6 linked regions of the Oryctolagus cuniculus genome follow. The protein of the gene in region 4 binds, or shares a complex with, the protein of the main gene of each other region. Links are inferred from orthologs where the notes say so. Each region holds a gene or a part of one and is shown on either strand. Other genes may lie near its edges.

What was found.
Region 1: SMU1 (region 4) and SF3B3 share a complex: the UniProt entries of both Homo sapiens proteins name them as parts of the spliceosome B complex. The link is inferred for Oryctolagus cuniculus from reciprocal best matches to the Homo sapiens genes SMU1 and SF3B3.
Region 2: SMU1 (region 4) and MFAP1 share a complex: the UniProt entries of both Homo sapiens proteins name them as parts of the spliceosome B complex. The link is inferred for Oryctolagus cuniculus from reciprocal best matches to the Homo sapiens genes SMU1 and MFAP1.
Region 3: SMU1 (region 4) and ZMAT2 share a complex: the UniProt entries of both Homo sapiens proteins name them as parts of the spliceosome B complex. The link is inferred for Oryctolagus cuniculus from reciprocal best matches to the Homo sapiens genes SMU1 and ZMAT2.
Region 5: SMU1 (region 4) and IK share a complex: the UniProt entries of both Homo sapiens proteins name them as parts of the spliceosome B complex. The link is inferred for Oryctolagus cuniculus from reciprocal best matches to the Homo sapiens genes SMU1 and IK.
Region 6: SMU1 (region 4) and PRPF38A share a complex: the UniProt entries of both Homo sapiens proteins name them as parts of the spliceosome B complex. The link is inferred for Oryctolagus cuniculus from reciprocal best matches to the Homo sapiens genes SMU1 and PRPF38A.

What each region holds. Positions count from the first base shown.
Region 1 is NC_091449.1:56,643,564-56,648,131, forward strand, and holds the end of SF3B3 (splicing factor 3B subunit 3), read right to left. Parts: intron 3,917-4,568; coding exon 3,773-3,916; intron 2,974-3,772; coding exon 2,869-2,973; intron 2,215-2,868; coding exon 2,074-2,214; 3' UTR 1,583-2,073; downstream 1-1,582. UniProt on the Homo sapiens protein: Component of the 17S U2 SnRNP complex of the spliceosome, a large ribonucleoprotein complex that removes introns from transcribed pre-mRNAs.
Region 2 is NC_091443.1:66,689,393-66,693,590, reverse strand, and holds the end of MFAP1 (microfibrillar-associated protein 1), read left to right. Parts: intron 1-157; coding exon 158-317; intron 318-2,554; coding exon 2,555-2,644; intron 2,645-2,743; coding exon 2,744-2,926; downstream 2,927-4,198. UniProt on the Homo sapiens protein: Involved in pre-mRNA splicing as a component of the spliceosome.
Region 3 is NC_091437.1:28,335,781-28,340,791, reverse strand, and holds the end of ZMAT2 (zinc finger matrin-type protein 2), read right to left. Parts: intron 4,919-5,011; coding exon 4,773-4,918; intron 2,710-4,772; coding exon 2,566-2,709; 3' UTR 1,653-2,565; downstream 1-1,652. UniProt on the Homo sapiens protein: Involved in pre-mRNA splicing as a component of the spliceosome.
Region 4 is NC_091432.1:196,460,505-196,465,606, forward strand, and holds the end of SMU1 (WD40 repeat-containing protein SMU1), read right to left. Parts: intron 2,877-5,102; coding exon 2,724-2,876; intron 2,138-2,723; coding exon 2,039-2,137; 3' UTR 1,628-2,038; downstream 1-1,627. UniProt on the Homo sapiens protein: Involved in pre-mRNA splicing as a component of the spliceosome. Regulates alternative splicing of the HSPG2 pre-mRNA. Required for normal accumulation of IK.
Region 5 is NC_091437.1:28,290,255-28,295,622, forward strand, and holds the end of IK (protein Red), read left to right. Parts: intron 1-399; coding exon 400-478; intron 479-1,163; coding exon 1,164-1,244; intron 1,245-1,448; coding exon 1,449-1,506; intron 1,507-2,979; coding exon 2,980-3,068; intron 3,069-3,260; coding exon 3,261-3,369; intron 3,370-3,537; coding exon 3,538-3,572; intron 3,573-3,653; coding exon 3,654-3,681; 3' UTR 3,682-3,822; downstream 3,823-5,368. UniProt on the Homo sapiens protein: Involved in pre-mRNA splicing as a component of the spliceosome. Auxiliary spliceosomal protein that regulates selection of alternative splice sites in a small set of target pre-mRNA species. Required for normal mitotic cell cycle progression.
Region 6 is NC_091438.1:120,514,402-120,518,681, forward strand, and holds the start of PRPF38A (pre-mRNA-splicing factor 38A), read right to left. Parts: upstream 2,801-4,280; 5' UTR 2,570-2,800; coding exon 2,440-2,569; intron 1,747-2,439; coding exon 1,587-1,746; intron 200-1,586; coding exon 78-199; intron 1-77. UniProt on the Homo sapiens protein: Involved in pre-mRNA splicing as a component of the spliceosome.

The sequences.
Region 1 (4,568 bases), on a different chromosome or scaffold from region 4:
AGAGGGATGGGCATCAGTCTGACAACCACCAGCAGATGCCTCAGTGTCCTGGCATCATGCCTGTCAAGCTCTACAACACTGGGTGTGTTCACCAAGGCTAAGGACTTCCTTTACCTAGCTGCTCCATCAAACCAAAGGAGCCAATTAAGTCCCCTTAACAATTTCATAGATAGGATCTGTATTTAAGCCTCATCCAGTCAACAACTATTTAGGAAAATTCCTTTTGAGCATCTTGAGGCAAATTCTTCCTCTCACATATTCGAGCCTAATTCCCTGCTGGCATTCAAGAAATATACCTTGCCTTCCTCCTACAGACAGCAAGCAATGATGGACAATCTGTGGAGGAAACTCAGTGGGACAATTCCTGATTGTCAAAGAGACTGTTTTTTTCATGTAATTCCTACTACGATATAATATTTCAAACTTCAGTTAGGATAAAGAGGCTTAGTTTCTCACACTTAACTGCATATCACCATACAATTTTGACAGAATGGATTTAGGGCCACAGGAATGAATAGGTCTTGCAATGAGGCTTTCTAAACATAATTCTGATGTCCTATCCACTGTGCAGATCCATGAGCTCAGCAAGAACACGTTTAATTTCTGACAAGATTTAGGTCTCTGCTGACTGATCTAAAACCAAGTTAAAGGTTTAGGTGTTTGGTACAGAGGTCAAGTCACTGCTTAGAACATCCACTGGAGTGCCTGGGCCCAGTCCTGGCTCATCTACTTCTGATCCAATTTCCTGCTCATGAGAGGCAGCAGATGATGGCTTAAGTATTTAGGTCCCTGCAACCTACATGGGATACCCAGACAGAGTTCCAGGCTCCTGCCTTCTGCATGACCCATCCCCTATCTGTTGTAGGTACTTGAGGTGGGAACCAGTTTCAGTGCAGATGAACTGCCTAGAAGGTAAATCTTGAGCTTCCCACACAGCTGGAAGAAGAGGAATTTTCCAGTGTGCTCAAACATTTCTGAAACGGAACCACTTCCTGCCAACAGGCTCGCAGTGCTCTTTTCTTATACCCTGAGGATCTTATGGAACCTAAGATGTGTGTGCACTTCAGAGACAGGCACCCCCTGGTTACCCATAGGCCTTTAAATAGGGCCCACATATTCCAAATTTGTTCCCAAGGGCAGGTTAGTATCTGGGTCCTTCTGTACTTACTGACCTCTCCTAGTAGTCATAGGACCAAAGATCTTTTCAGGAGCTGTAGAAGTAAAGAGAATGCCTGTTAAATTAGACTATCATGCTGGTATTCATGCTTAACCCATCAATTCAAGACCGAAAGTAGAAGGAAGCTCTAACAGGGATAGAAAAATCAGTCACTCTTCCTCAATATCCAATGGGAGAAGAGCGGATGTCCACATGGTTACTGAACCCAAGTTTCAGTTGCATGGCAAAAAGAAATCAGGAAAAGTCACAAAACCATCACTGAGTTGGGAAGAGTAGGCAGCCACAGGGTGCTAGAAGTCTAAGCAGGTACTCAGAAGGAAGGAGGATGCTCGGTTCTTATTCCAAGATAGGCTTCAATCTCTTACCTAGATTCTTTTGAACAGAAAAACACACATGGACACCAGCCACCTTAAAAACTAGGTTTGTATTTCTGGGTAGGTCCTAGAGTGGAAGAACTCAAGAGCAATACTATATCCAACCTGGTTCCCACCAATGTGTGCCTCCCTCCCTTCCACAAAGGACATTGTACAAAACTCTATTTACAGGAAAACCAGTTAAAAATTAGGCATGTGTACAAAAGTAGACAAAAGGCAGATGCAAGGATGGCCTTGAGGAAGAGGGAACAACATGTTCCACACTAGAACCCAGATGTATCATGTACTAGGCAGGGAGAAGTGCAATAAATCTCAATGCCAATTTTAAGGGTGAACCAGTCATTCCAAGGGAAGACATGAGGGGGGAAAAAGCTGTTGGTTTTAACGGCAAAGTCTTAATTAATTCTCCTGTCACCTTTCTCCTGCCATATGGCAGAAGCGAGGTGGTGGTGGTGGTTGTGGCGACAGGAAAAAGAAAATACAAAGTCTCTTGGCAGCCCCACATATACAGCAAGGAAGGGCTCAGAAGGCGTAACGGGTCCGGATGTCCTCAAGCTTCTTAGACACCTCAGGTGGAGTTCGGTCCAGTTCCTCAGAGACATTCTTTTGTTTGTTGGGCTCCATGGAATTGAACTGCTCACAGAGGTCTCCATCAATCACATTCTAAGACATGAAGTAATCAGAAGGAAAAAAGGTTAAATGCACAAAGTAAATAGAACAAGAGGCCAGCATTGTGGAGCAGTGGATTAACCTGCTGCCTGTGATGCTGGTATCCCATGAGTGCTAGTTTAACCCAGTTGTTCCACTTCCAATCTAGCTCCCTGCTACTACACCTGAGAAAGCATCAGAAGACAGCCCAAGTGCTTGGGCATACACAATCTACATGGGAGACCCAGATGGGAGTGTCAGGATCCTGGCTTCAGCTTGACCTAGCCCCAGCCACTGCAGCCATTTGAGGAGTGAACCGGGGATGGAAGATCTCTCTCTGTGTAACTGCTTTTCAAGTAAATAAACACATCAAAAGAGAAAATTAAAAAAAGAGAATGCTTTGTATTCTCCCCAGTGAATCACTCTACTTTGTAGAGTCGGGAGCACATTCTCAGTCCTTAGTAGTCAGAGTTCAGAATAGCAAAACTAGGTGAAGCTTTTTCTTTGGCTATGATATGACCTGAGGGGAGAAGATTCTGAATATAATCACCAAGCACCCCTCCCCCAATCCAATCCCTTGCCACTCCTTTATGCTGCATTATTCTGATTTTTAAGGAGATGGAGGCTAAAAGAAAAGATCAGCTGAAAGGGCTGATTCCCTCAAGCTACCTTTACAGGGAAGTAATAGGAACGAAAGCTTAGGTGGTCCCGTCCACAGAGAGGGGGATGCTCAGACCGCAGGTGCATTTCAACATGCTGGAAGAAGTCATGGTCCTGGTGGAAGAAATAAAGAGCCTGTCACTAAAATAAAAGTGATTTCAACCACTAGTGGATAGTATTCAGAAGCACAGTGAACAAGTCATTGATTTCCCCATGCAAACAAATGGTAAATATCTAATCACTCTTCTGATGATCAAAGGTTCTTCATATATGACAGGACAGCTAAAACCCCAAAGAATGTACTGTATTTGTAGCACAAAAGAGAACATCATGGGTAAGAGCAATTTTTGAAGTCATATTCCAGACCCTAGACTATCAGGCTAGAATGATTCCATAAGGCACAATGTGCTCCAGCATGGGGCCAGCGCTATGGCATAGCGGGTAAAGCCACCGCCTGCAGTGCCAGCATCCCATATGGACACGGGTTCAAGACCCAGGTGCTCCAATTCCGATCTAGCTCCGCCATGCTTGGGAAAGCAGTAGAACATGGCCCAAGTCCTTTGGTTCCTGCACCAGTGTGGGAGACCTGGAAGAAGCTCCTGGCTCTGGACTGGCTCAAATCCAGCAGTCGCGGCCATTTGGGGAATGAACCAGCCAAAGGAAGAACCCCCATCCCGCCTCTCTGTAACTGCCTTTCTGATAAATTAATCTTATAAAAAAGAAAGTGCTCTAGCAGATATCTAACTCCCACTTCTAGTCACTGTAGTTCAGCTTAAAAACTAATGTCTTGGTAGGGGCAAGGGGAGGAATATTAGGATTCCTATCTCCCTAGGAAGGTGACACCTGGCACCTTGTCAAATTCCCAGAACTTTCCTAGTTACAAGATTCAGCCCAGATTAATATGGGTTCTCACTTCATGGGATGTGAATGGAACAAGGATGCCAATTCCTCCAGATAAAGTGGTATAGACAAGTGACTCTGAGCCTCCAGGGATCAGTGTGGTCTTCTGTAATGACAGCACTGTCTCCCCAACATGGTAGTTCATGATCACCTCTGCCTGCAAATCAGAAACAGATAAACAATGATGAGTGTCTTTGGAAATAGGTTCTGGATTTCCAAAAGCAAGGCAGTGACCTCAAAGGTACCTGTCATCTTTTAAGAAATCAAAAATTACTAAAAGCTAACAATACTTCCACAGGAGGTAGCAGGTAACATCTAAATAGTTGGGTTCCTGGGGCTGGCACTGTGGTGTGCATAAAGCCACCGCCTGCAGTGCCAGCATCCTATATGGGTGTTGGTTCAAGTCCTGGCTGCTCCACTTCTGGTCCAGCTTTCTCTGCCTCTACTTCTCTCTGTGTGTTAACTTAATCAAATAGAAGTCCAGAGATGCTCTCTTAAACATGACTAAAGAGGAAAAACTGGTTAGTACTGGGAATTAATCTGTACAACTAGGTTTTCCAAGGAACTATGTATTCTTCAAAGAGTTTTACACTGACTGACGTTTCACAAAATTTTCTAAAAGCAGAATAGTGAAGTGGTCACCTTATATCAAACCTAACATTCCTCCATTACAGGTTATGTATCAACAGCTATGGGATTTCCAAGAAGGAAGGATCATGCATGGGAGAGCACTCAGCATAGCTAATGTGCATTGTGAAAAATTCACTAAAAACTGTCAATGAGGGCAACAGGAAAAGTAGTTAAGTGTG
Region 2 (4,198 bases), on a different chromosome or scaffold from region 4:
CAATATTTCTCAAACTCTTAATCTTGATTCCTAACAGGCAATCCCTAGAGCTAAACTAAGTGAATAATGCTTGAAAGGAGATAGGATGCAGTTTTCACATGACTGGAACTCTTTGAAGCTAGAACAATACTAATAAATAATTTTGTTCTCTGAACAGACTTGAGAAGGAGAAAGCAGAAATTGAACGCATGCGGAACCTGACTGAGGAAGAGAGACGAGCTGAGCTTCGGGCAAATGGCAAAGTCATTACCAACAAAGCTGTGAAGGGCAAATACAAATTTTTGCAGAAGTATTATCACCGGGGTGCCTTCTTCATGGTAAGACATGAAAAGGGAGTCAGAAAAATGGGCAGTAGGAATAACTCAGAAGTTTAGAATTCTTTCTTCTCCAAGAATAAGCTGTTCTGTAATGTTATTTCCACTTGCAACCTTTCTCATTTACGTTTTGCCTCTGAAGAATATAAACCCAGAGAAAAGTGTTAGCAACTGAAGTAGCAGCAACTCTTCTCTATTTTGGCCCTAGTTCTCAGAAAGAGGAAATGATATTAATAGAAAAATTCAGGCAATGAAATAGATAGTAATCCAAAATAACAGTCTGTTAGCCTTGTATAAAGTGATGCACACCTCTTAGAAAATATTGAATTAACACCACCATTAATTCTTTTAAGAGGAAAAGCAGGAAAGGTAATGGAAAAATCGATTTGCATTTATTACTTGATAGCATATGGTTTGTTAATTTCCCGATGTTAAGAAAGTTGGTATCAAAAATTAAACTAGCTTTTTCAAGTGCTATTTATCAAAGCCTAAATATCTCATCCTGCCCTTCACTGCAGATACTGGTAAAATCTGAAAACTTCATTGGAGATGTCTACTCTCCAAAATCAGCCTTAGTCTTACTGATCAGCAGGAAATGCTTATTATGTGATTTTCCAGCACAAATGGTTTTCCATAGTTAGTAGAGATTAGAATTACTTCTACTCTTTGAAAGTCATAAAGTGTCTTTCTTTATTTCATCATTTCAATAGCTTTTATAACCATGCTTCTTAGAGAACCAGTGTATTACTGACTAAAATACATAGGTAAAGTTTATATGAAGTCAGTCTTTTGGTACACGTACTCAAATATTAACTCTGGACCAGGAGAGTAAAATTGAAATGGCTTCTAGGATTAAATGAAGGACTTTCAAGTCCACAGTAGAAAAGATCTCACAAAAACTGTTAATAGTCCTGTCTTTAAAACTGGTCCTTCCTAAACCAAGATGATGCTGTTTTTATTACCTCTAGCATGTATGTGTGTAATCTCTGCCACAGCATTGTAATCTGACACATTGGTTCAAAACTATTCGCTATGTTTCATTAAGTATCCTTTTATGCACTACCAAAGAATATAAAATCCTCCCCTCAAAAGGCTCACAATCTAAAAGTAGGTCTAAGTCTACTGAAGGTACTCTGGCAGTTTCTAAAGAGGGAGATGTTGTATTTGGTTGATTGAAAACAATGACATGTATAAAGGTAACACTTCAGATGATTGACTTGACTTTTCAGTGTTAAGACATTCCAGCAGGAGGGGAGGCAGAAAAGTATCAGCTATAAAAGGAAGTGGCAAAAAGAACTAAACAGATTAAGGCTTATATTTGGCCTTACCTACTACAGAACCATTGATGTTTTTGAGCAAGGCAGATACATAATTAGAATTGTATTCTAGGCCGGCACCGTGACTCATTAGGCTAATCCTCCGCCTTGTGGCGCTGGCACACCGGGTTCTAGTCCCGGTCGGGGCACTGGATTCTGTCCCGGTTGCCCCTCTTCCACACCAGCTCTCTGCTGTGGCCAGGGAGTGCAGTGGAGGATGGCCCAGGTGCTTGGGCCCTGCACCCTATGGGAGACCAGGAGAAGTACCTGGCTCCTGCCATTGGATCAGCGCGGTTCGCCGGCCACAGCGGCCATTAGAGGGTGAACCACCGGTAAAGGAAGACCTTTCTTTCTGTCTCTCTCTCTCACTGTCCACTCTGCCTGTCAAAAAAAAAAAAAAAAAAAAAAAAGAATTGTATTCTAGAAACATTAATGGTAGGGAAAAAAACTACGTGATAAGAGTTTATGAGATGTGGCAACTGATTGAATATACACAAGATTACTCCAGTTTTGAAACTATGTTAACTAAGAGAATGTTGGGCCTACTTACAAAGAAGTTAAATCAACGGTGGGCATTGTGGCATGGTAAGTTAACCCATGCCTGGGGCTCTTACATCCCTTATCAGATTCCAGTCCCAGCCAGCTATTCTGTGCTTCCTATCCAGCTAAATCCACCTATGCAGTTAGATATGAGTTAAGACCCAATGGAATATCTGTTAAAATAATATAAAAGGCAGTAGAAAATTCAGAGTTGAGAGGCTTGTTCATAGTTGAAGGCATGTGCGTAAATGAGCACACAGATTATAGTAACTCGTGTAAGCCCTTGAAGAATGACTCAATAATCTCTGTAACCTTTGTTATATTAACTCTGGCTTGAATAAAAGGGAATAGAACTAAAATAACTGATTATATTCATTTCTGCAGGACGAGGATGAAGAAGTATACAAGAGAGATTTCAGTGCACCTACCCTGGAGGATCATTTCAACAAAACCATTCTTCCTAAAGTCATGCAGGTATGGGGAACCTTAGTAACATAAGAGAAAGATCATATATTGAGGACAGAGGTGTAGTATGTTTGGTGTTACGTGTAACTCATCATTCATCCTTCTCAGGTCAAGAACTTTGGACGCTCTGGCCGTACCAAATACACCCACCTTGTGGATCAAGATACCACCTCCTTTGATTCAGCATGGGGTCAAGAAAGTGCCCAGAACACCAAGTTCTTCAAACAGAAGGCAGCTGGGGTACGGGATGTATTTGAGCGACCGTCTGCCAAGAAACGGAAAACTACTTAGGGTTCAACTACATAATTCTTCCACCTATGGGACACAACAAGTCTTAGCATCTGGTCTTCAGTTTGCTTTTCCCATTATTTATATGGCCCGCATATCCAGGCTATTGGACCTTCTACCATACTTGTGATAACAGGTAGTCCTGTCTTTGAAGGTGCTTTTTGAGGTCTGGACTCATGCTGAGAATCCCACAGAAAAGCACTATGTGGGTACTGGAGCCTTCCCATTTGAAACTATTTCTGAGAAATCTCGGGTTTCATCACTGCTGTGGTTTCCCATATTTACTTGGGACTGTTGTTCTGAGATTCTTTTTCCAGACCCTTAGCTTGGGTCAGAAACATGAGCATGTGAGTGGAGTGGACAATGCCTTTCTTCTACCTTAGTGTTGGGAGTAACATAGCAGGAAATCTAAGCTCATTGAAATGTTTTCCATTTTTAATTGGAGTCAGTTTTTTCTAAGTGAATGTAATTCTTGATCCATTGATGTGTGTCAAATAAAAAGTCACACACCGATTTTTATCATGATGCAAACACAGAATACACAGGCTTATATTAACTACCTAATAAGTAAAAGCAGGGAATTCAACAGAGGATGTTTCATATTTTAACCATCCCCTTTGTTCTCAGAAACTGATACTTTCAATGGAACACGTTTATTCCATGTATAAAAATACAAATGTTTTGGTTATCCTGTCTGTCTTTATTGTAGATGTACATAGAACAAAAGTTGACCCATGAAATGGGACATCAGTCTTACTGAATCAGAGTCACCACAAATGTGTTCTCCATAGCCAACTCATGTATCAGTGAAGGCACCTAGGCTCTCTGAGCAGCACATTAGTGTTAAATTCACATTTAATATTGTATAACCATCATGCACAAGGAATTCCAGGGGTCATGGGTTAATCAGTGAGAAGACTGGTTTGTCAGAGCGAAGTCTTTTCACATCCTTTAAATGCCCCACTAGAAGAATCACTCTTAAAACTTTAATGTCCTAGGATGAAAATACAAGTGTAATTAAAGTAATAAAGATGCACAAGGCACTGTTTTATGAGATACAATTTAAGAATTATCCTAGAGCCAAAATAAGGCCTTGAAACTCATTTTGGAAAGTGCTTAGAGTTGGCATTTGAGTGTCTACTCTGAAGCAGGTACAAAGTTAAGCTTGTGTATTCACCAGCTCATTAGTTCTACAGCCTATTATAGTTGAGGAAACAAGCACATCAAATGGGACTTGACCAATGCTAATCAACTTAAATTTATTTCAAAGAGAGA
Region 3 (5,011 bases), on a different chromosome or scaffold from region 4:
TAATTCCTTCACATCTGAGACCCTGACACCTTGCTCCATTAACATAGCAGTGCCTGTGACATGCTCACCCTCTGAGCACTGGATTAACTCAGGTGGACTCTCAGAAGCACATTCCTCAATCGGAAGGCAAATCTTCCACACTTAGCTAGACTTCCAACGTCAAGAGCTTCTCTTCAGAGATTTTCAAATCATCTGGGACTGCTCCGGACTCCTGAATTTCCACCCCATCTCCATCCGTCCCTTTTCCAAGCTACCACTTTAAGCCCCTCCAAATACTCATGACCTAGACTCACATCACTTGCCAGTCCAGAGGGCTTTGAGAACCTGGAATTTAGAATTGCTTTTCAGTAATTGCTTCTCAGCCCTTTGGAAAAGATCAGCTATAGAACTGCTAGGTGATCAGAGGTTGTACCATAGAGGGAGAGAAATCATTTGAAGCTAAACTGAATTAGATGACCTCCTAAAGAATGAAGACTAAATCATGGAAAAAACTGAAACCTGCTCCAGCTTGCCTTGAAAGGAGTGACAAGATGATCCAGTCAACTACAGCAGAGTACCCATGGAGCTCTAGTGCACATAATCCTGCCAAGGAAACAATCCACTGGTGTCTCCAGGAGGCCAAGACTCTATCTAAAACGTTGACCCATGCCTTAACCCAACAGAAGGCACAGTCACAGTGTTCCCGGAGCAATATTCAGCATCAAAAATTAACCAGGTAAAGGGCATGTGTGGCAGCAAGGGAATTTGGTATGAAATCCAGAGGTAAGAGTATGGTGCTCTGCAGAATCCACAGTTGTTCAGATGCTAAAGAAAGCGGCGTGAAGAGCTAGACAGAGCAGAGGAAGAAAGTAAGCCACATGGTGGCAACCTTGTTAACCCAAATAGATCCTTTTTCAGGGTACAGAATCACTAGCAGTAGTTGCATCAGTCATCTGCTTAAAATGACTATTACTCTTTTCTGTGTTTGACTGCTTTGTCCCCCCACCCCCCACATTCCAGGTCCAGTACTTGGTCTAGGGTAGCAAAGATTTGGGGTTTCCTTTTCATTAGCTAGTTCTGTGCCACCTCTCAAGTCAGACCATAGCTGGGAAGGCAGCACCATTCTCAAAGGTTCGCAACAGAGCAAAGGCAATTTTGCCCCCTTCACTCAGGAACATGTATATATCTTTTTTATTGTCACAGCTGCAGGAGGAGGTGCTACTGGCATCTAGTGGGGACAGGTTAGAGATGACACTAAACATCCTGTAACACACAGTAGTGTCTCTGTGACACAGAATTATCCAGCCCCAACGTCAACAGTGCCAAAGTTCAGTAACTGTGCCTAGACCAACCACAGCTAGTGAAAGAAACACTAAGTTAAACTGAGCTCTGCTGTTCCAAAACAAGGAAGATCCAACGAGACTGAAATTATAGAAATTCTTTTGTCCAGACTCCTCTGGACAGATACTGTATCAGAGGGAACTACAGTTCAAACTGGAGGAACCTAGTTAAAAAAAAAAAAAAAAAAAAAAAACCGGGGGGGGGGGGGTCAATGAAAGGGAAGAGGGGTCAATGAAGGGAGTATAGAAGCTCTATCTGGAAATCCTCAGTGAGATAAAGGAAAACATACAAAGGGAAGATTTTGGAAATGTTCCCACCAAATGTCAAACAGGCCCACTCAACGCTATTTATTATATATGTTTAACAGCCCTGTGACCCAAGGGCTCCCACAATGAGGTTTTGAGCTTTTGTTGTTTTTGTTGTTGTTTTCTTTTTTGCATCAAACAGGTTCTTCCAAGAGCCTGCTCACAAGGAAGACAAAAACAGAGAAATCCTCAGTAAAAGGAAACAAACAGTAGTTGAAACAGTCTACATCCGAAGAACAATGTTAAAAAACTCACCAGACACAAGCCACACCAAACACTCATCCCATTTAATTTCCTGTTACATGCTCTGAGGAGGCGAGAACATCAGGCCCCAAGGCAACAATGCTCTGAGATTCTAGCGCAGGCCCCCTCTATGTGACAGATTCATGCACACACATCCGCACACACCACTGACCCAGGCAGAAGTACACATGCATGCACAGGTGGCTGAAGAACCTCAGGGCAGGATGGGAGAAGGAAGGGCTTGTCAAGGATATCCCATCAACTGGAAAGTGGGGAGCCCGAGATCCCTTCTGCTGCAGGCTGAACATTAAGTCAAAATTAAAACAAAGGCAGAACACAGGATAAAGGTAGGATGCTCAGACAAGAAGGTGAATAGATGAAGATGCAGAGGCTTTTGGGAAAGCAGCCTCCGAGGGAAGGTGGGTTTTGTTTGTTTTATTGGGAACTCAGATGGGCAGAGGTCCTGTGACTCCAGCGATAAACTGAGGCTCAAGGAATATGCCATAGCATTACCTCTGCATCCTGTGCCCTCTCCCAAGGTAGAGGGAAATCACAAACACCCACCCTCTAGCCCTCCCCACTGACACTCTTAAGGATTTCCCCAGTACCCAAAAAGAAGTATTTCCCTTACCCCCAACACATACACACACAAAGTTAGGTCCAGCATAGGCCAAAATGAGGCCAAGTATAGAAAGCGTCAGTAACTTTTCTTCGTGGAACCAAAGCCAGAGAAGCCCATCACAGCTGCCATCTCATCATCCTCTTCAAATGTCAAGTCCTCCTCAGCCCTCCTTTTCTTCTCCTTCTGTTTCTCTTTCTTGTAGGCTTTAGCCTTTTCCTCCTGTGGGGGAAACCACTCAGACTCAGCTCAGACTCCTGAACTGTATATTGTCAAAAGATACATGTACATGTCAGGATTTTCTCTGTATTTGGGAGAAAGTAGTTAGACAAAAGCATGTAACTAACTGACATTCTAGCATATGCAGTACATGCCAAGAACTGTTCTGAGTACTTTATATATTTCACTTGGATCTCCAATATGGAGAAACTGAGGCCATATATAACTTGAAAAGATTCATAGCCATTAAATGGTGGAAACAGAATTCTGATCCTATCAGCCTGGTACCAGGGGCCTCTTGATGACTTGATCAATTTAGTTAATCCACAGAAAAGACTAAGGCTATGCACACACAGGTATAGGAGACAACCAGGAAATCTCAGTGAGGACAGCGCTGGGCACAGCAGGTTAAGCCACCACCTGTGATGCCAGCATCCCCTATGGGCACTGATTCAAGTCCTGGCTGCTCCACTGCACATCCAGCTCCCAGTTAATGTGCCTGGGAAAGCAGCAGAAGATGGCACAAGTCCTTGTGCCCATGCACCCACAGTGGAGACCCAGATGAAGCTCCTGGCTTTGGCCTGGCCCAGCCATGCCTGTTATGGCCATTTGGGGAGTGAACCAGCATATGGAAGAGCTTCTCTCTCTCTCTCTCCTTTTCTCTCTAACTGTGCCTTTCAAATAAACAAATCAATCTTTAAAAAAAAAAAAGAAAGATAAAGGAAGGGGCCAGTGCTGTGGCGCAGATTAATCCTCCACCTGAGGTGCCGGCATCCCATATGGGCACTGGTTCTAGTCCCAGCTGCTCCTCTTCCAATCCAGCTTTCTGCTCTGGCCTGGGAAAGCAGTAGAAGATGGGCCAGGCGCTTGGGCCCCTGCACCCATGTGGGAGACCCAGAAGAAGCTCCTGGCTTCGGATCAGCCCACCTCTGGCTGTGGCAGCCATTTGGGGAATGAACCAGCAGATGGAACACCTTTCTCTGTGTCTTTCCCTCTCACTGTCTGTAACTCTGTCAAATAAATAAAATCTTTAAAAAATAGAAAAAGGAAATCTCCATACCTTCCTCTCAAGTTTTTTTTACTCTAAACTTTTTGTTTTCTTTTTTTATTTATTTGACAGACAAAGTTAGACAGTGAGAGAGAGAAACAGAGAGAAAGGTCCTCCTTCCGTTGGTTCACACCCCAAATGGCCACTACAGCCGGAGCTACGCCGATCCGAAGCCAGGAGCCAGGTGCTTCTTCCTAGTCTCCCTTGTGGGTACAGGGGCCCAAGCACCTGGGCCATCCTCCACTGCCCTCTCGGGCCACAGCAGAGAGCTGGACTGGAAGAGGAGCAACCGGGACTAGAACCAGCGCGCATATGGGATGCCAGTGCTGCAGTTGGAGGATTAACCAAGTGAGCCATGTTGCTGGCCCTAAACCTTCTTAATGAAACAAAAAGTCTTTTTAAAAAATTAAATGAAAGCACAATTATCCATAAAAGCAAGGCCCAGCCGGCGCCGCGGCTCACTAGGCTAATCTTCCACCTAGCGGCGCCGGCACACTGGGTTCTAGTCCCGGTTGGGGCGCCGGATGCTGTCCCGGTTGCCCCTCTTCCAGGCCAGCTCTCTGCTGTGGCCAGGGAGTGCAGTGGAGGATGGCCCAGGTCCTTGGGCCCTGCACCCCATGGGAGACCAGGAAAAGCACCTGGCTCCTGGCTCCTGCCATCGGATCAGCACGGTGCGCCGGCCGCAGCGCGCTGGCCGTGGCAGCCACTGGAGGGTGAACCAATGGCAAAGGAAGACCTTTCTCTCTCTCTGTCTCTCTCTCTCACTGTCCACTCTGCCTGTCAAAAAAAAAAAAAAAAAAAAAAAAAAAAAAAAAAAAAGCAAGGCCCAGAAAGTCCAGGAGAAAAGGGTAGGTTTGAAGTCATTTCCTTCAGATCATGAGAGACTCAAATAAAGACAATAAATGTTTCCCCTAATATTCAGAACATACAACTCTGGGGCTGGGGATGCAATGAGGAAGAGGCCTCCCATGAGTCACGATATAAAATGCAAAGCTGGGGCTGTACAGGAGTGCCTTACTTCTTCTCTGAGCTCCTTCATCCTTTCCTCAAAATCATAATCCTTCTGCTTCTCTTCCATCTTCTTCTTGTTGACCTCAAAACGTTTCTTCACCTGATCCAGTGTAGATCGTTCCACACGCATAGACATACCCAGGTTTCGCTGATCTGGGTGAGGTTCAAAATAAGAAGGCAAGGTCATTACAACATCCTCAGAGCCTCAAAAAGTCTTTTCCTAGCCTTTTGAAAACCTTTTCATAA
Region 4 (5,102 bases):
ATTGGTGTGGCCTTTATGCTGCTGCTTGGGATGCCCACATCCCGTATCTGAGGTGACTTATTGCTAATATGTAATTCTGGTAGGCAACAGATGGCTCAAGTATTTGGGTCTTTGGAACGACATGGCACAGCAGGTTGAGCCATGGCAATGAACACCAGCATCCCATATCTGGAGTACCAGTTGGTGTCCTGGCTGTTCTGCTTCCTATCCAGTTTCCTGCAGATGCACTTGGGAAGGGACCAGAAGGATCCCTATCACGTGCGAAATATCTCAAGTGGGCTGGCTCCTGGCTTCATTCTGACCAAACCCTGTTGTGTCCGTTAGGCAGGTGAACAAATCTCAGTGTACCTTTGAAATAAATCATCTCAGACACACATACAATGGAATTAGCCAGCTGCACTCAGATCACAATTTTATTGGCAACATCCAAAGCAGGAGCCAGATGAACACAAGCTTGCTTTCTCCCATCAAGCCTGACCTTGGCCACATCAGTGTTCACAGTCTGAGCTGGTGCTAGTTGGTCTTGAGCACCTCCATGGGTACAACTGCATTTTCATTTTCAGTCTTGGTGGTGGAACCAGTGATCAGGGAACTTCCTAATGGCATAGCAGGCAAGCTTGTTTCTCCTGTGGGGGTTCCCTTTGGAAGACACTTAAATTTGGGCTGCCTCCAGAACCTAGTGTCGTCTTCAGTTAATGTTTGGTCCTGAACATTATGATATCAGTAAGTTCTGTAACAGATAACGTGACAGTGGAAGATGGGTGATGTGTAGATTTCTGTGCCGGAACTCCCTTCAGCACTGCTTTCTTGGCTTTGAAAGCCTTTGCTTTAGCTTCAGCAGCTTTGCAAAGGACCCAGAGCTTTCTTCTTTGCCTTCAGAGCCATCTGGGTGAAAACCAGCTCCCCCTAGCATTCTTGAAACGTCAAAACGCTACGCAGGTTTTATGGCAGAAGGAAAATAAGGTAACTGGAAAACAGGAATTTCTTAGTGCTGCCCAGAATTAATTCAGCCAACCTGGAGCATTATGTGTCAAGCACAAGATCAGTATTTAAAGTCATGGTCAGAGGTAAATTATAAAACACTGCAAACTTTAAAAAGTGGGCATTAAAGGCCTAGAGAAATAAGATTTTACATTCTGGAAATAGCACATAGCATAGCACCTTCATACATCTTTGGTTGGAAAATCAGACACTGAGCAAAGCACTTCCAAAGGTTTTATTGGCTTTTAAATTTTCTTAAGCCAACTGATGGTTCTGCACCTTGTAAGAGACTTCTAAATCCCCAGGTCCTTTTCTAATTTTCCTTCAGAACAATAGCTGATTTTCAATGCCAAATCCTCTACTTGTGAAAGGGAAATGCTGAAACTTTTATAAATGATCCTCCGGAAGACAGTCCTGGAGCTGACATGCACATGGGCAGAGGCACGGTTCAGAATGAACCGTGAGGGCAGGGTGAGAGCAGTGAAATGAGATCTATGCATCCTGGCCTTTCCACAGGTTAGTCTACCCTATCCCAGGAATCCACTTCCTGTTGGACTTGAGATTCAGGTAGGATGACATCCCCTCTTCCCTTGATTCAAAGTAAATATGTTAACTAGGTGAGCATTATGTATACTTAAAACAAGTCTCCAGAAAGGTGTAAAGTTTATTAACATCTTAAAAAAAAAATAGCTACTGAATTAAGGGGTAGTTCCTTATTTACAAGTTTTAATATAGGAGGCACATTTTAATCAGCATTTCAGATAATCAAAGGGGTACAATATTTTTCTAAGAAATATCAGTATTTTATGCTCTAGGTAGATTAATGAAAACATAAGTGACAGCCCCAGTTAGAAACAGATTAACTAATACCTTAAAAATACATTTAAAAAAGGGTTACTGCTACTGCAACACGAATTTTCACAAAAGTATTCTTGTACCTAATTAAGATGATCTGTTCACTTAGAAAAGCTGGCCTCAGGGCAGGGGCTGGGGGAGCGGGGAGCGACTCATGGATCTGTCTTCATTTAAGTACATGCTTCCAAGCTGGTTGAGAGAGTTAGGGTTTCCAGAGCTTTAGGAGTCCGTCTTCACTGTAGGTGGCAATCAGGTTCTGATGAGGGTGATGTGCAATACCAATCACATCCTTCTCATGGACCTGGAAACAGCGCAGCATTAGGTGGCACAGGCCTGTAATGAATCCCTCTGAAGAGCCTGCCTGAACTAGGTGGGAGGCACGAGGTCGTGGGAGGCTGCATGTTCCTAAGCAGATAGGAGGGAGGACTGTATCCAACTATCACATGGTGACATAGTGTTAAGCCACTGAGATTTTTGCAGATTATTTGTTACAGCAGCTGGCATGAATTACTCCATGTACTTTTATCATACATAGAGCTAAAGTTTTAAAAACATCGTAATCAATTTGAGAGAGTAACATAAAACTAATCTGCCCCTAGAAAGACACAGAGAAAGCGCCTCCTTCAATCCCCAGCCCCCACGAGGAAGACATAATCTAGCTGGCTAGATGGGTGGTTCTCTTCCTTCTCTGCTTTGTGTACAGTGCGCCATCCTGCCCACCTGCAGCTGCACGGTCACTGAAGGACGGCTTTTCCTGACGAAGGAGGTAATTTCATACAAGTACATATGGACTCTCAATGTGTCATAAAGGCCTCTGTTAGATTTTTTATACTGAGGCACAAGCATTGGCCGTAAGCTCTTAGACGCCCTTGGTCAGCAGTACTCACCGTCAAAGTTCTCTCTAGTTTGCCAGTGACTGTGCTGAAACAGTAGAGCACAAAGTCCTCCCCCACACAGTAGATCCATTCACCCCGGGGGGAGAGGGCGCAGCAAACGAAGTCACCGCCTTCTCTCTTACCGGAGCTGAAGCTTCTGACGATCTAGATTGCGCCACACCACAAGACGAAAACAAAACATGGGTGACCAGTACGCAACCTCTTGGAGCTTTTTCAAACCTTCGTTAATATAAACTACACTTACAGATGACATTTTTTTAGCTGATATTTTTACACTTATTTTGTACTTCAGTTCACTGTGATTTCTAACTTTCAAATTTCACTCATGTGCTAAATTCTCTTGCCTGGAAAATACTCATTCCATGAGCTGCAAGGGCAGGGATCCTGAATTTATACATTCCCAAGTCATCAATACTGCTCTTCAGCCTGAGTCCTGCTACCCTGAAGCAAATTCATTACCACACACACAAAATCCTTCCAATCTCAAGCTTTCTGGACACATATTCATACCCAGTTTCCTCTAACAGAATGAGTTGTTCTTCCCATGCAGGATCAAACTCTGTCCCTAAGACATAAATCAACCTGAGAAAAAAACAATTTTTTTTTTTTTTTTTTTTTAAGATTTTTCAACAACTTGAAAGGACAGAGAAGATCAATCTTCCAGTCCCTGGTTAACTCCTCAAATGTCCGCAACAGCCAGGAATGGACCAGGCTGAAGCCAGGAATTCCATCTAGTTTCCCATACCCTAACCCTAACCCTTGGGCAGGGGCCCAAGAACTTCAGCCATCATCTGCTGCCTCCCAGGGTGCATTCATGGGGAGCTGGATCAGAAGCAGAGGAGCTGGGACTTGAACTCCGATAGGGAAAACTACCCCACCACACTGTGTCACTTCCCCTAGAAACTAATTTCAAAAAGCCTAAAGATTACCTACTGCACGATTCCATTTACAAAATACCATTCTCTAAAGGACAAAATGACAATAACAGAAAACTCCAGCAGCTGTGTGTTGCACTAAACCAGGGCAGGCATTTAGCCTAGCAGTTGTCACCAGTTAGGACGCCCACATCCCACACTGGCGTGTCCAGCTGCAAAGCCCAGCTACAGCTCCTACTTCCTGCTAATGCAGACACGGGGGGCAGCAGATACTGGCTCAAGTAATTGGGTTCCTGCTATCCACATGAAAGGCCTGGTTTGAGTTTCTGGCTCCTAACTTCGGCCAGCCCAGTCTTAGCCATTGCCAGCATTTGAGGAGTGAACCAGGGAATATAAAATCTCTCTCAGGGGCGGGTGCTGTGGCATAGTAGGTTAAGCCTCAGCCTGCAGTGCTGGCATCCCATATGGGTAGTGGTTAGAGTCCTGGCTGCTCCACTTCCAATTCAGCTACCTGCTACTAAGCCTGGGAAAGCAGTGTAAGATGGCCCAAGTGCTTGGACCTCTGCACCCTCGTGGGAGACCTAGAAGAAGCTCCTAGCTCCTATCTTCAGACCGGCCTAACTACAGCCATTATGGCCATTTGGGGAGTGAATCAGTGGATGGAAGACTCTCTCTCTGTAACTCTGCCTTTCAAATAAAGAAACAAATCTTAAAAAGAAATAAAGGTCTCTCTGTTCTTTCAAATAAGTATAAAAAACTTATTTTACATGAGAGAAACTACAAAACTCTGATGAAAAATATCAAGGTGGGGCTGGCCTTGCAGCACAGCAATCTAAGCTGCTGCCTATGATGCCAGCATCCCATATGAGCAGCGGTTGGAGTCTCGGTTGCTCTGCTTCTGATCCAACTCCTTGCTAATGTACGTGGGAAAGCAGCAGACGATGGCTGGGTTTCTGCCACCCACATGGGAGAAGCAGATGGCGTTGTAGGCTCCTGGCTTTAAGAATCTATTTTTTCAAATCATGTACTAGGAGGTATGCTTAGAGGATGCACCAGGCAGCTGTGGCTCTTATGCAGTGGCCCAGGGGACGCTGCAGACTAGCAGTCTCAGCCGTGGGCTGTGAACCACCAGCTCATTAGGTGCAGGGCCCGAGGGGTGGAGAGAACTCGGCACACCAACCCTTGGGTCTTCTTCATGCTCAGGAGAGTGCCCAGGCCTGTGTTTCCATAGCACTTGCGATGCATGCCCAGCCCACTCCAAATGCCCCAGTCCACAGAAATGAGATTCCCAGGGAAACCGCGCAGGCATCCTGATTACAAATGCACTTCACAAGGACACCACTGTCTTTCCTATTATTAGTGCTCCAGTTTAGCTCATGTGCTATCTGGGAGACGACCCAAGTTGGAAATCCACACCAGTGTATCTTTCCTAAGCAAACAAAGACTGTTATCTTCAAGTATTCAATAAGGTTCTGAAGGAATCTTAAAGACCAAG
Region 5 (5,368 bases), on a different chromosome or scaffold from region 4:
TAGAGCGCAGAGCTGGTAAAGGTCAGATTGGGAAGCTTCTTGATTGTGGGTTCTCAAAAGAATCATGTCTTGCTTGCAGGATAGACAGGATGAGTCTGGAGTTCTGTGCACCTTCCTGGGCAATGGCAGGATATGTTTGGTCTTAGATAGCATTTCCTGTAGCCCTGGGGTTTTGAGCAGGTGCGTCGAGGTTAATTGTGCAGTGTTCTGGTTACCTCACCACCATCTCCTCCACAGTAGCTCATTAATAATTGGAGTGTGGATAAAATTTTATTAGATGAAAGGGTCTGTTGCCAGGAAAAAAATATTTTTACGAAAGGCGCAGGTTGGAAGTGTTTCAAGGGGAGGAATTTGTGAGTGCCTTGGTTCTAAGGCTGAGCAGAGTTCTTTTTTTCTCAGGACCTGGCTCTGCCAAGGAGTTGATCAAGTCCATCAATGAAAAGTTTGCTGGGTCTGCTGGTTGGGAAGGCACTGAGTCATATCCTTTATTTTAATATGTTCCTGGGTTCTGAAGAACTGTCCCCTTTTCAGCTCTACCTCACTTGCCTCCCTGCTCCCTTTTGCCCCCTCACTCCTTCTGCTTTATGCTGAATTTGACAGGGATGAAAGCTTGCCTTGCCCCTCCCCTGGGGGTCCCACTGAAGCTTAGCCCTCTCCTTAGAATTTTCACGTTGAGACTTCTGACGCTTGGACTCTCTTGCCTAAAGTTTTTCTTAATGAAATTGTATCTAGTATTTTCTTTTTTCTCTTCCCTCCCCTCCCTTCACCTTCCCTCCCCTCTCCTCCTCTCCCCCTCCTCCTTCCCTCCCTCCCCCCCTCTTTCAGATTTATTCATTTATTTTGAAAAGCAGAGGTACAGAGAGGCAGAGAGAGGGGTCTTCCATACTCTGGTCCACTCCCCAGATAGCCACACTAGCTGGAGCTGTGCTGATCCAAAGCCAGGAGTCAGGAGTCCCCTTGGGGTCTGCCACATGGGTGCAGGGGTCCAAGGGACTACTCAGGCCATCTTCCACTGCTTTCACAGTCCATAGCAGAGAGCTGAATTGGAAGTAGAATAGGTGGGTCTCCAACTGATGCCCATTTGAGATGCCAGCACCGCAGGTGGCAGCCTTACCCGCTCTGCCACAGTGCTGGCCCTTAGTATTTTCTTTAACATAGCATATGTTAAAGAAGCCAGAAGACAAAAAGCAGCTGGGAGATTTCTTTGGCATGTCAAACAGTTACGCAGAGTGCTATCCAGCCACGTACGTGAGACCCAATAAGGAAGGGGGGTGGCTGGGATTATGGAGAAAAACTTGGGGGGATGAGGTGGAGATTTGATTTGCTGGGACTCAGGGATATTTCTTACTTGAATTAACTGTTCGACTCTGGGAAGTCTAGAGGAGAAGTCATTTCTAGGCAAACAGCTCTGAGTCTAAAGCATCTGTTTTACCATTGCTTCTCTTTAGGATGGATGACATGGCTGTGGATAGTGATGAAGAGGTGGATTATAGCAAAATGGACCAGGTATGGCATTGGAAGGATGGGGTCCTTTTCCCATATCTCCTCTTTCCTGCTCTACAGGAATCTGTGTCTCGCTTACTGGGCCTGACCCTCCTTTAGTTGCACCATTAGAAGCAGCAGTATTACAAGTCGGGAGCAGCTGAGCTGTTTTTGAAGTTTCTGCACACGATCAAATGAGCTAGGGCCAGGAGTCCTTCTGTTTCCTACAACAATATGCCAGGCTTTGATTTTCCTCCTGGTCCGTAAGAAGGCATTAACGCATGTGTGGAGAGGGAAGGAGGAATTGCAGTCTTCAGAAAATAAGTGAACTTTATTCTAGCCAGGATTAAAGTTTTCCTTTAAATATTAAACAAAATTAATGTTGAAGAAATATCATCTGCTTTTCCTTTATTCTCAGTGTACTGCAGTAGCTAAAAGCATTCTTTATTCTTGGAGCTTTGTTTAATTCCACCTCTACCATTTACTAATTTTGTGACTGCCAAATTGTTTTACTGTTTTTTGTTTTGTTTTGTTTTTGTTTTAAGATGTATTTATTTATTTGAAAGTCAGAGTTATACAGAGAGAGGAGAGGCAGAGAGAGAGGGGGTGTGGGGTAGGGTCTTGTCTTCCATCCGCTGGTTCACTCCCCAATTGGCCAGAGCTGCGCTGATCCAAAGCCAGGAGCCAGGAGTTTCCTCTGGGTTTCCCATGCGGGTGCAGGGGCCCAAGGACCTGGGCCATCCTCCACTGCTTTCCTAGGCCATAACAGAGAGCTAGATTGGAAGTGGAGCAGCTGGGTCTTGAACCGGCGCCCACATGGGATGCCGGCGCTTCAGGCCAGGGCATTAACCCGCTGCGCCACAGTGCCAGCCCCTTGTTTTACTGTTTATGCCTCAGTTTTATCATCAGGAAACTGGAGAGAAATATAGTTCTATCTTCACTGACTTTGTGAGAATTAAATAAGAGGTGTTTAGGTGTGTATGTAGAATAATGTCTATCACATAGTTTGCAGTAAGCATTTATTATTTGTTAGGATAAGACTTTTTTTTTTTTAAATTTTTTTAATTTATTTTTTGACAGGCAGAGTTAGACAAAGAGAGACAGAGAGAAAGGTCTTTCCTCCGTTGGTTCACTCCCCTAATGGCCTCTACGGCTGGGCCTGCACCCATCCAAAGCCAGGAGCCGGGTACTTCCTCCTGGTCTTCCATGCGGGTGCAGGGACCCAAGCACTTGGGCCATCCTCCACGGGCCACAGCAGAGAGCTGGACTGGAAGAGGAGCAGCCAGGACTAGTACTCAGCGCCCCAACTGGGACTAGAACCTGGGGTGCTGGCGCTGCAGGTGTAGGATTAGCCTAGTGAGCTGTGGCGCCGGCCAGAATAAGACTTACAAATGGTGAAATGTGGGATTTTGGGAGAGTCTGGCTTTAACTAAGGGCTACTTCTATTTCCACTGACTGACTCTTCCCTGCCTGTCTCCCCTTTCTGTTTTGCAACAGGGTAACAAAAAGGGCCCCTTAGGCCGCTGGGACTTTGATACACAGGAGGAATACAGCGAGTATATGAACAACAAGGAAGCTCTGCCCAAGTGAGTTGTTAGAGAACACGGGCAGGGAGTGATGAGGCCTATGGTGATTGGGTGAACTTGCCTACAAATCAAGTTAGAGGATGTCTGGATGATAAATTCTTCAGTAGGTTGTGTCCCTGCAGGGCCCTCTGGGAAACCTTGCTTCTGCTTTGCCAACCTCTCATGCCTGCTTCACTCAATGGCTCTTTTCAGGGCTGCGTTCCAGTATGGCATCAAGATGTCTGAGGGGCGGAAAACTCGGCGCTTCAAGGAAACCAATGACAAGGCAGAGCTTGACCGGCAGTGGAAGAAGATAAGTGCGGTGAGTGGGACTGTCCCTCAGGTGTGAGGCTTTCAGCTGAGAGGAGGCCCTGGCTTACAGGCCCAGAAATAGACAGGGAGAGCCATGCAAGTGACCGAGAGGTCAGTCTTGGGCCGTATCTGCATTTACTCTGGCTGTGTGACTCATTTATCACTCGTCTTTTTGCAGATCATTGAGAAGAGAAAGAAGATGGAGGCTGACGGGTGAGCAGCTTCCTCTGTGGGTGTGGTAAGAACTGCCTAGTGTGTGTATCTTATGCTGATCTGTTTCTCCTTTGATTGCAGGGTTGAAGTCAAAAGACCAAAGTACTAATCTCCAGTTCCAACTGGAGAATTTCCACAGGCTCCCACTGCTTTCTTTCTATAATTCCCAGAAAGGTTGCAAGGTGTTTCTGTGAATGTATATAAAATTTTGTTGTATAATCATTGGTTCCATTAAAATTGGTTAACCTGCTGTCTTGTCTTTTCTGTGTTCATCCTCCCTTCTGGGTCCCTGGAATACCAATCCTCTGGTTGTGATTTTATGGTTAAGATGTCACTTGGGATGCCTTCATTTCATATAAGGCTGCCTGGCTTCATGTCCTGGCCCTGCTCCCAATTCCAGGTTCCTGATGATGTACACCCTGGGAGGTACCAGATGGTGGCTCTGGTAGTTGGACCCTTCTACCCACATAGGAGACTTTGATTGAGTTCCAGGCATCTGGCTTTCTGCTTCACCCAGCCCTGCCTGTTACAGACATTTGGAGAGTGAACCAACAGATGGAAGATCTCTTTCAAATTAAAAAAAAAAAAAAAAGTTTTATTTATTTATTTGAAACAAAGTTACAGATAGGAAGGGAGAGACAGAAAGGGAGAGACCTCCTTCTGCTGGTTCACTCCCCAAATGACCGCAGTGGCCAGGTCTGGTTTTGGGAATGGCCAAAATCAGGAGTCAGAATCTTAATTTGGGTTTCCCATGTGGGAGCATCTTCTACTGCTTTCCTAGGTGCATTGTTAGGGAGCTGGATTAGAAGTGGAGCAGCAGGGACATGAGGTGGTAGGATGGTGACATTGCAGGTGCAGCTTAACTTCACTGTAACATGCTGGCCTTCAAATAAAAAATTAAAAAATTTTAAGAGATCTATTTATTTGAAAGGCAGAGTTACAGAGAGGCAGAGAGAGGGAGAGAGAGAGAGAAGTCTTTCATCTCCTGGTTCACTTCCCAAATGCCGGAGCTCGGCTGAAACCAGGAGCCAGGAGCATCTCAGTCTCCCACATGGGTGCAGGGGCCCAAGGACGTGGGCCTTCCACTGCTTTCCCAGGCCATAGCAGGGAGCTGGATTGGAAGAGGAGCAGCTGGGATTTGAACTGGCACCCACATGGGATGCCAGCACTGCAGGCAGTGGCTTTACCCAGTATGCCACAGCACTGGCCTCCCAAATTTTTAAAAATTAAGAAGAAATCACACCTAGAAGGATGTGTCAGTTCTTTCATGAGCTATGCTGCTATATTCCTCGACAATAAGGATATTTACTGGCCAGTGTGCCCAGCAGGGAAGGAAAGAACGACCCTAACTGATGGGCAAGATGTGGACAGAGGAACCTAAATGATTAAACATGTTACTCAAGCCTGTCTGAGGGCCTGATACCTGACACTAGGACAAATTCCCTGCATATTGGAGTCTGCTTAGCAGGCTGCTGGCCTGATCCCAAGGCAGTGCTGGACTGGCATCTGGGTGAGGGCATATGATGAAAATTATCACCTTTAGGGGGGTCGGTGCTGTGGTGTAATGGGTAAGGCCACCGCCTGTAGTGCCAGCATCCCATATGGGTGCCAGTTTGACTCCCGGCTGCTCCACTTGCGATCCAGCTCTCTGCTATGGCCTGGGAAAGCAGTAAAAGATGGCCCAAGTGCTTGGATCCCTGCACCCACATGAGAGACCCAGAAGAACTGGCGCAGCTCCGGCTGTTGTGGCCAACTGGGGAGTGAACCAGCAGATGGAAGACCTTTCTCTCTCTACC
Region 6 (4,280 bases), on a different chromosome or scaffold from region 4:
CAATGCAAAGGTAGAGATATTGGTGAAATAAAAACTGGCTTAGGAATGACAGTCCAGAGCCTTGGTACCATACTCACCCCCATTTCGGTTCTGGCTCTTGATTTTTCGATAGTCATTATACAAAGGCTCCAAGTACTTGTAGCAATCAATCGCAGTGCCTGTCAGCCTCATGTAAAGTGCCCCCAACATACGAACATACCTAACAGAGATGACAGTGAAATAACAGGCCATCCCAAGACGTTTTTTAGTTTTACGATTGCTTTTCTTAAGACAACAATAGACAAACATGTTTTTTTCACTTTGACAGTCAAGAGAGCTCAAGTTGTATTTTGTACTAGCTTTGGGACCTTGGACATATTCAATTTTCAATTATATTATCTGTAAAATGTGGATAAAACCTATTTACCTCACAGGATTAATCTAAGAATCAAATGAGATACTAAATTTAACAGAAGGCATAGATGCATTAATTAACAACAGTAGCACAATAGATAAGAATGTGGGTTCTGGAAAAAGGTCATCCATCTGGGTTAAAATTCTGATTCCATTATTTGCTAACTCTGTGACACTGAACACGTTACTTGTCTTCCCCAGTTCTTGTAAAATGGATATTATATAACTAAGTCTTTAGCCCAATGTATGAAATAAGAAATGGTCAAAGTGCTAAAGCATATTATAAGTGCCTAACAAAAATCAGCTATTTTGTAGCTGCCAATGTTTTGAAAGATTCCTTCCTTTTCCCTTCCTCCTATATCCAACTACTTACTCAGCTCTCCACATAGATAACTACCAGGCTTTTGAAACCCAACAGCTTCTTTATATGAGAAGGAGACTAGTAAATATGAGTTCTGGAGTCAGTTTTGCCATTTACTAGCTGTTGACCATAGACAAATTATTTAATCTCTGCCTCAGTTTCCTACTTTGTAATAAAGGGATAATACTTTTACAGTGTTGCTAGGAAGACAAATGAATAATTATATGTAAAGCCCTTAGGATATAATACACAATATTCCATTATCATGTCTGTCTCTATACTGCTCTGTGAGCTTCTTGAGAATGGGATAAAATAGTTAAGAGCAGCTGATACTTTCCAGTTGTTTTCCATGCAACAGGCACTGTGCTGACAAATTTGCAAGCACCACCTTCAACTCTCACATAAATCCTCTGTGTAGGTATTTGTCTCCTTTTTACAGAAAAAGAAAGCAAAGATTTGAAAATTAAGTAACTTTTCCAAGGTTACAATTATTAAGAGTCTGGACATGAACCTAGATCTAACATCTCATAATTACTACCCTCTGTTGTTTTCTCCACTTGTGAGTGTCCAGTGCTTATCCTGTTAGGCCCTCACTTCTACATAATATATGTTCAGGGAATGGGAAATTCTATTAAAGGGGGAAAATGATCATGACTAAGAAAGTAAAGCAGATTATCACAATCAGAACAGAGAAAACACAAACTTAAGAAAAAAAACCTAGAGTGGAACTCTTTGTGGAAATGAGAAATGTTAAAATGTTGTGTAAAGAACTCTTAACAAAATCCCAATTTTGAACCACTGAACTTTTTGTATTAGTCAATATTGCACTCACTTGAAATCTTCATTTTTGATAAACTCTACAATGATATCCTTCTCAGGTTGAATTTGAAGCATCTTCAAGGTTAAACACAGAAAAGGAGTCGGTTTTATGTTGCCACCATAGACACCACCCACAAACCTTAACTCCATGGCTTTATCGACCACCAGTTCAGCTAAAAAACAAAAACAAATAGCAACACCTCAATCATATTAGGGGTAAGATTTTCCTGGTTGGAAGTGGCATTGGTTCAAGGTTCAGCGCTCCTCAGAAGTCACCAGTAGTGTAATAGAACAAGTGTGTTTTAATGGTAATACTAATGATGACAGTAATCCATACACACTGAAATATCACTATATGCCCGGATATCTAAGCATTTCACATTATCTCAATCTTCTCATGTCGTGAGGAAGTATCTGGCACTGTCCCCATTTCCACTTGAGGAAAATGGGGGGTAAAGAAGATTAAAAGACTAGCTTCAAAGTCCTCAGTACTGCAATTCAAATTAGGACTCGCACCCGGAAATAGTGAGCTGGCCCGCAGTTAAGGGCACTGAGATGAAGAATACTGTGTCGGACACTTGCGGCCCTTTGATAGCTCAAGAGGATACGTCAAGGAGCTACAGTAGGTTCCTGAGCCGAAGATTGCTCAGAACCCTGCACGCCACCGTTAAGCGGGGAATGACTCCAAGAACTCGAGAAACCCTTCAGAATACGGCGAGGCCCTATCAGATTCATCTGTGCCCCCCACGATCCACAAAAGACGAGGAAACAGCTGGCGCTCCTGTCTGAACGACTGACACGCTCTCCCCCAGCCCCCCGGCGCCCAGTCGGGACTAAGGAGCCACGCCTCGCGCGATCCCGCTCACCCGTAAGCCCAAAGCACTCCTCTTTCCAGTACTTGGACTCATAGATTCGCGTCCGAATGATCTTCTCCACCAGGTACTGAGGGTTGGTGCCGTGGATGCTATGCGCATCCTTCACAGTACGGTTCGCCATTTTAGAACGCCTTCAGCCCCACTTCCGTCGTGTTCTTTAATGCGTCACATCCAGAGTTAAAAAAAACCGCCGAGTCTCAGAGGGGGAGGAGGAGGAGGAAGCCTCTTCGGTTGCTTAGACGACCATCTTGAAAGCGGAAACACCACAGCCCGGAGAACGCCCGCGAGGCGCGTTGCGCCGCGGATCCACCATGGCCGCCGCACGTAGGCGGCAGTACGCCGTGCGTCCCCCGGGGTGGGCGGGGCGACCGGGCCAGTGGCGTAACGCGAGGGCGGTCTGGGGGCGGGGCTACGCCGTTTGGCGGGAATTTTTTTTTCTCCACATTCCTTCTATTCCTACCCGAGCGGTAGCTTTGGCTCTCGCGTGCGACCGGTGGCTGTGAAAGGAGGATCGCAGCTGTGGAAAGTTGCTGTGGAGAGTTGCTGCAGCCCCCGGAGCTCCCGAAGCAGGAGCGGAGGGAAGCGAACGGCTTGCGGTTCGAGCGAGAAGTGTTGGCGCCCGGTGAGTGTGCATCGCGCGGACTGGAAGGCGACCTGAGCCCCTAAAACCGCCGTTTTCCTCTGTAGACTCATTTATCCTTAATTCACCCGGCAGCAGACAGCCACTGTTCGCACTCCCGCTAGGAGAGTTCCTCTTTCACGTCGGATTCCTAGAAGGCTTCCTGCTCCGCTAAGGACGCACAGTTCGCCCTGGGGAACCAGAAGCCAACAGTAGAGAGGCGCGTGCGTGCCTGCCTTCAGCGCCCTTAATCTCTTCACTGAGGATTTTAGTCTTTCCTTCCATTTGCGTTGCCTTTGTCCAGGACTCACGTTGTTTCCGTCTTTGAGCTGTAGTGTGCGAAACACTGCAGAGCGGCGGAGCGGATGCTATCGCTCCATTTTACGGATAGAGTAGTTGGGGCCAGAGAGGGAGCTCGGGGTCGTTTGTGACCTAGCGGCCAGGGCTCATTATCCAGGTCGTCTTCTTGAAGATGAGCTGCTCTGAACTGCCGGGTTCCCCCGCATCTTCTTTCCAGGAGGGAAACTCAGTGATACTTCCAGTCCAACCCGCAGTAGGGGGACCTTCTGTCGTGACAGCTGGAAAAAGCACTGGACTGAGTGGGAAAAGATGGCGAGATTCTTATCCTGTGTGTTGTTTGTGAAACTACGATGATTAGGTCTGCTTTGAGCTGTCAATCAATATGATTAACGATATCCCCTTCCCTGGCATATTAGATGGGTTGTGAATGTCAACGGTTTCCGGTGTGAGATAATAAGTTACCGTGTCTCATTGGTTTTTTGTTTTTTTTAAGGTTTATTTCTGGGGCCGACTTTGGGGTGTAGAGGTTAAGCCTCCATCTGTGATGCAGACATCCCACATGGGTCCGCCAGTTGGAGACTCAGTTGCGCTCCACTTCCCATCCAGCTTTCTGCTAATGCGCCTGGGAAAGAAAGCAGTGGAGGATAGCCCAAGTTCTTGGGCCCTACACTCCTGTAAGAAATCAGGAAGAAGCTCTGGGCTCCCGGCTTTTGCCTGGCCCAGCCCCACTGTTGCAGCCATTTGGAAAATGAACCAGCAGATGGAAGATCTCTCTCGTGCTCTGTCTCTTCTCTCTCTGTAACTCTCCCTTCCAAATAAATAAAATATTAATCTTTTTTTTTAAAGATTTACTTATGTATTTATTTATAGAGTCAGAGTTACAGAGAGGGGAAGAGACAGAGACTTCCATCTG